Macaca fascicularis: one gene and its partner. The protein of the gene in region 2 purifies or fractionates together with the protein of the main gene of each other region. This does not show direct contact. Links are inferred from orthologs where the notes say so. Each region holds a gene or a part of one and is shown on either strand. Other genes may lie near its edges.

Evidence for each region.
Region 1: the proteins of CSTF3 (region 2) and CSTF2T purify together in Homo sapiens (co-immunoprecipitation; 4 studies listed by BioGRID and IntAct, counting the BioPlex papers as one, with this or other methods). This does not show direct contact. The link is inferred for Macaca fascicularis from reciprocal best matches to the Homo sapiens genes CSTF3 and CSTF2T.

The regions. Positions count from the first base shown.
Region 1 is NC_088383.1:94,861,360-94,865,204, reverse strand, and holds CSTF2T (cleavage stimulation factor subunit 2 tau variant), read right to left. Parts: upstream 3,015-3,845; 5' UTR 2,969-3,014; coding exon 1,091-2,968; 3' UTR 647-1,090; downstream 1-646. UniProt on the Homo sapiens protein: May play a significant role in AAUAAA-independent mRNA polyadenylation in germ cells. Directly involved in the binding to pre-mRNAs.
Region 2 is NC_088388.1:32,496,266-32,499,148, reverse strand, and holds the end of CSTF3 (cleavage stimulation factor subunit 3), read right to left. Parts: intron 2,215-2,883; coding exon 2,120-2,214; intron 2,000-2,119; coding exon 1,939-1,999; intron 1,521-1,938; coding exon 1,318-1,520; 3' UTR 817-1,317; downstream 1-816. UniProt on the Homo sapiens protein: One of the multiple factors required for polyadenylation and 3'-end cleavage of mammalian pre-mRNAs.

The DNA of each region.
Region 1 (3,845 bases), on a different chromosome or scaffold from region 2:
CTTGATTATTCTGGTAACATGATTAATGATAGAAAAGTAGATTATGAAATAAGAAAACTAAAAGGCATGTTAAATGCTGTTTAGTCTAAAGGTTTTTAACTTCTGTCTGGTGGAGCAAATGGACACCATCTGTATATGAAAGCCAGATACCAAGAAACTGAGAGTTTACTTAGTGAAACCTACTACTTATGAAAAGTCAAATATCATGTATAACTCATCCAGATCAACTGGTCCCTAGACACTGATTTTTGGGAAGGATGTGAGAGAATTACTGACTCAGATTTAGGGCTTAAAGACTATTGAGAAATTGGAAGGTATTGAGAGATAGGGTTTCATCAGAGTGGACTTAAGTAACCTGGTTGATTTTAGAATTGTCACAGCAAAATCAACATGCTCTGATGCTTGGGGCCTGGCAGAACCTTGCTGGTCTCTGAAGGCTGGGATAAATGAAGCAACAGTAAACCAGGTGTACTCCTTGATTTTTCAGGTAACACAACTTTAGAAAAAAACAATTCTAATACAAGTTTAACCTTATCCTGTTAACTCTAATATTTCAAAAATAATTCTAAAACACTAAGACAATGCTTATCCTATTGCCTCCAATAGGATTTTGTATTTTAAATGGTTTACCAAAAAATGTGTCTTATACTTTTGGGTAAACTTTATTTTGTTATACAACCAAAAATCTTAAAACCATCTTAGTACATTAACGTTTTAACAGGTCAACTTTTAGTCTTTATGAGCAGTTTTCACAAAGTTTTACTCAACATTTAAAAAATGTAGTTAACATACTGTAGACACTTCAATATTGCTGCTTATTCTTTGTAATCTTATTTGGCATAATGTTGTCATGTTCAGAGTTATTTTACAGTAACTTAAAGTGAACAGACACACTCCCTCCTCCCCCCACCCTCAATTAAAAATAAAAAAGGAAAACAGAAAGAAATAAAAAGAACAAAAAGTAAGATTAGGTTCTAGGAGGAGGGAAACCCTAATCCAAGTGTGGGGATGCAGAAGTCAGCTTTTTGCACCCATTCTCCATGCTACAGAATAAACTTTGAGACTACAGCCAAATATTTTCTAAAATCTTTCAAGAAGTTCCAGTGGATTTCTGGATTTGTTCCTTTAAAATCAGGATACTCTGCCTTTGCTCAGGGGGCAGCATGGCAATCTGATCTGCAGTTAGTTGAAGAACCTGCATGATCAAAGCCGCCTTTTCCTGATCCTGTGGAGTGACCTGGCTCTGCCCAGGACTAAAACTGCTAGGCTGGCTTCCACCTTGCTTGCTTGCCCCCTGTATGCCTCCTCCTTGTATACCCACTCCTTGTATGCCTGCCCCCTGCATCCCTCCTCCTTGTATGCCTGCCCCCTGCATGCCTGCTCCCTGCATGCCTGCTCCCTGCATGCCTGCTCCTTGTATGCCTGTACCCTGCATACCAGCTCCAGGATTCCCCACCCCTGAAATGCCTGGGACCTGTCTGGGTCCCTGAGGAGGGCCACCTGCCCCTATATTAATGGGACCAGGACCCTGAATTCCACCAGTCATAGGACCTCTTGTACTGGGGACAGGGCCCCTCATCTCCAATCCTCTTGCATCCATGCCTCTTGCTTCCATCCCTCTGGTTTCCATGGCACAGGTCTCCATTCCTCTCCTCTCCATTACACGTGTCTCTAAGACCTCAGTTTCCATGGCGCGAGTCTCCATCGCTCGAGAATCTCTACTACCTCTACCATCCATAGGTAGACCCCTTTGATCTATCATGGGGCCTCTGGGCTCTCCAATTAGCAGTCTGGGATCTCCTAATGGCCCTCCCCTCATCTCATGTGAGGAAGGGCCACGAGTGTCATGACCAGAGGCATGATGCATGGGGGGACCCTGATGGGGTGGACCCAGATAACCTCTGGGCTCCACTTCTCCAGTGACTGAAAGCAAAGTCCCTCCACGTGGGTCATTTGGAGCATCTCCTAACAGTCCTCGAGGAGGTAGACCACCAGGAGTCATGGGTCCACGAGGTATAGGAGCTCTAGGATCTGACATCTGCACTTGTCCCCGCTCTAAAGGCACTGGGCCAACCCCTGGCATTCCAAGTTGGGGCTGCATTGCTCCTCCAGGAGTTAAGGAACCAGGACCAGGTCCGGGAACTGCAGCTGGTATTGGCCCTGGAGCTGGAATTCCACCCTGGATAGGAGTCTGCATCAGAGGAGGAATGTCCTTCACAGGTCTTCTAGCCAAATGCTGAGGCTGAGGAGCTGGTGGATTCTGCTGGTTCAGCAGAACATTAGGTCCTGGGCAGAGCCCAGGGCCAGGGCCAGGACCAGGGCCAGGGCCAGGGCCAGAGACAGACACAGACTGAGATTTGCCTGGGATCAGTGGTGTGACATGTATCTTCCGATGAAGAATTTTCAGAGCAATCTCTGGATCCATGATTCTCATCACTACTTGCGCCTGCAACAGCGCATAAGCCAGTTGTGGATTTTGAAGTAACATGTTTCGAGCTTCCTGGTGGCTGTTTTGGACACAGAGCTTCATCTGCTTCATCAGCTCAAACATCTGCTCCGGGGGGAGACTGGCTACTGCTCTGGTAATCGATTCAGGGGCATCTTCTGGATCGATGGGATCCCCATAGGGTGAGTCAATAATGGGCGCTGCAGGCCCGAGGCTCTTTAACTCCTCCTTATTCTTTTCACTGGCAGCATTGTCCACCCGAAGCGCTCTGCCACTGAACTCCCGCCCATTGAGGTTCCGCATGGCACTAAGCGCGGTTTCCTGGTCTTGGTATTCGCAGAAGCCATAGCCCTTGGGTTTTCCCGTCTCTCTATCGTATACCAGCCGGAAACTGACAACAGAACCAACCTCCGAGAAAATGTCCTTTAACTGCTCCTCAGTTGCCTCATACGGAATGTTCCCCACGAACACGGAACGCAGTGATCGATCCATTGCCGGGTCTCTCACCGCCAAACTCGACATGATTCCGGTTGTGCACACTGCCGATAGCGGATTCTTCCAGGCGTCTGTCCTCTTGCGACCGACACTTCCGCTGAGCAACGGAAGCGGCTCTCAAGATCCGGGCAGAAACCTTACTAATTCGCTTGAATCGTTCTGCTTGCCTGTGGAACCTGCATCCCACTAACAAGTTATCTAATGCTTTAAGTCCCTGATCCTTCGTGGTTCTGTCAGCTTCTTATTACAGAGTCGCATGATTCCTTTCCCATTTCACCTTCCGCCGACTTTCTGTGGAGCCCCAACAGCCCCGCTACGACACCCTTGGTGCGAGATGACCACAGTAAAGATGGCCGCATAGACTTCACCATAGTAACTGGGAGGGGACTCCTCCCTTGACGTCAAAGGCGGTTTTGCTTCCGTTCCACCGGCGGGAAACCGCCAACCGAAAGCGGATTTAAGGCTGCATGTTTTTCGTTCTGACAAAGTATTTTCATGTGGCCTTTTATTATAGTATAGTTAAGCTAGATTTCAAATCACATTCCAGACTGAGGCAAAAGCGTAGTCGTTTCAAAGCACATTTGAGATTTGCCCCTTAAAGTAAAACAGTATTATATTTCCTTTTTAGAACAACGTTTTTGGAAATTAACTGACAAGAAATATAAACTGAAGCGTGTGCCTGCTGGACCCTGCCCCCGCTCTGTTGCTTCCTATAACCGCTGTTAATGGATGGGTGGCAGACCCTTCTAGGTTTTTTTGAGCACACGGGCAGCAGTCGTGCTATTCCTAATATTACGGTTTTCTTCCTTAATAATAACCGATTTCAGTATTAATTGGTGATTAAATAAATTAGTTATTAGCATTTTATGGCTTCAGAGTATGGAATAATGAAATTTACTTAACT
Region 2 (2,883 bases):
GAACTGGCCACGTGTGAAAATATTCAAGTTCAGTATCCCTAATCTGAAATCCAAAGTGTTCCAAAATCCAAAACCTTTTGGGTGTCAACATGATGCACAAAGAAAATGCTTAGTGGAGTTTTTTGGAATTTGGACTTTTGGATTAGGGATGGTGAACTGGTAAGTATGATGCAAATATTCTGAAATCTAAACAAATCCAAAATCCTGAACACTTCTGGTCCCAAGTATATTCAGATAAGGGACACTGTGTGAAAACAAGACAGCAGGTGGTTAAAGGAATTTCCACACTTAGGTTGCTTTCAAGAGAGACAAAAGTATTAACAGGATCTTAATCTGCCTCAGATTTACTGGGGAGCAAATGCATTCATATTTGAGGATTTCTAAAATGGTAGAGGCTGAGGTGGATCACGAGGTCAGGAGATCGAGACCATCCTGGCTAACAAGGTGAAACCCCGTCTCTACTAAAAAAATACAAAAAAACTAGCCAGGCAAGGTGGCGGGCGCCGGTAGTCCCAGCTACTCGGGAGGCTGAGGCAGGAGAATGGCGTAAACCCGGGAGGCGGAGCTTGCAGTGAGCTGAGAACCGGCCATTGCACTCCAGCCTGGGCAACAGAGCAAGACTCCATCTCAAAAAAACAAAAAAAAATGTTTTTAGTTAGCACCAAAAAAGACCAGGAAAGAGTATGTGATTAATACATTTAGTAAATACAAGATGACTTTTCCTTGTACTGACTTTATTTTTAAATGGTATTGGATAAATAACATAAAACAGGTAGTTATTGTAAATAAAATCTGAAAGGAGCAGAGGAAGCATGATGTTTCTGAATCCTTTTATTTTTCAAAGGACTTTTAAAATTTCAAACTACAAAACGGATTTCATACATTCTGCCATAAATAAAAACAAACAATAAGGCAGGACTCTACATAAGCAAACCAAGAACAATTGTTTTCAGAAAATGTGATAAAATGCTTTACAATCATAAGCCATCCAGTTTTTAAAATAAAACTGTTGAAAAACTCACAAATCTTCAAGCGGCACATACAAGACACCCTTGAAGAGGGAACAAAATGTGGTTCTGCCATTTTGTATTGTTCTCACATTTTTGAAAACCTAATTTTGCTTAGAGCATAGGTCTGTTCCATATTCTAAAATTCACACAGGTTGGTTTGTTTTTCTCAAGAACCATATGATAGAGGCACCAATGACAATACAACTTTGTTTCCAAGAACCTTGTAACAAAGCGTTGTCTCTTTTAAACATACGACTTGAGGCAAAAGGAATCCTGGACAGGAGTTTTCTGCAGAGGCGTTTAAGCCCTACCGAATCCGCTTCTGCTGCCGTGCTCTGTAAATGTCATGAACAGGGGGGACAACGGCTCCCTTTTCTTCATCTTCATCTGAATCCTCGTTGGGCCTTTTGACGGCCTTGGTGAGTACTGCATTACTTTCCACAGGGCCGTTGCCTTCTACAGCTAGCTCTGGGGCCCCACCAGTAATGATCCTCACAGCTTCCTCAACAGCTGTTAAAACAACAAAACGTAAAAACATATTCCACTATGAAAGGGTATGTATGTTCAACTGTGGACACTTTATAGTTCATTTCATAGCCTACTAATTTAGCAAAACATGGAATAGTACTACTGATACTAAATAATGAAAGAAAAAGACAAAAGCTGCTGTTAAAACTAATAATTTTAATAAGCCAAAGTACATGTTCACATGAATAGAAAAGATAAACTTTTATGACATTTTACTTAGTGGAATTCAGTATGAATAAGCCTCTCTCTGCCAAAGAGGGTTTGGGTAACTCCTGGGTTTCACTGTACTTCAAATTGGCTGGCTGGTTTCAAAAACTTCAGTGGCAGAGAATAATAATCTCTACGGCTTATGAGACAACAATGTGGAATGACACTCTGAAATGGATTTTCTGTTACTTACTATTTGGTATCTTGCATCTTCGGAAAATTTCCATCAGTTCATCCACTTGTACGAAAGGACCCTATTTTGACATGAATAAATTTTAATCCCAGTAATCTGACAAGTTAAAATAGCAGTAACTTTATACATAATTACTGTAACCCACAGAGCCAGTATCTACCGTGAAAATAAGTGAACAAACCTGGAAACAGATAGGAGGAGGGAGAAGTTTCATTAAAACAACAGCTGCAGGAGGGACTGGGAACACTCCACCAGGTACAGGGTGTAAGCCTGGAGCTGTGAGAAAAAGAAAAGTATGAATCAAGTGGGATGGAAGAATTTCTACACAGAGCTAAAATCAAGTGACTTGCACATAAAGATCTTCCATGTCTATGCTGCTTTGTTCTGGACACTGAAAATACTTTTAGGGCTTTACCAAACCAAAGTGGGTGAGACAGAGCAGTCTCAATGCCATGGCCACTGCGAGGCAGAGAAGTAGACAAGTGACTTTGTATAAGACAATTGGGGACTGAACTAAAGTCAGTTTTTGTCAAAGACTGTTTCTGAGTTACACAAGTCATTTGTTTAGCAATCCTTTTTCAAGTCAATTATTCAACAGCATATTTAATCAGAAGGGCTTTCTTCAAAAAGAATCTAGAGAGGCTACTAACCATTAGTAAGTAAAGAAACCAAATTGTATCAGTGAAGAAAGTTTCCAGCTGTTCAGGTAAAAAGCTGTTAAGCTTTTTTTTTTTTTTGATACAGAGTTTCGCTCTTGTTACCCAGGCTGGAGTGCAATAGCAAGATCTGGGCTCACTGCAACCTCCGCCTCCTGGGTTCAAGTGATTCTCCTGCCTCAGCCTCCCAAGTAGCTGGGATTACATGCGTGTGCCACCATGCCCAGAAAATTTTTGTATTTTTAGTAAAGACAGGGTTTCACCATGTTGGTCAGGCTGGTCTTGAACT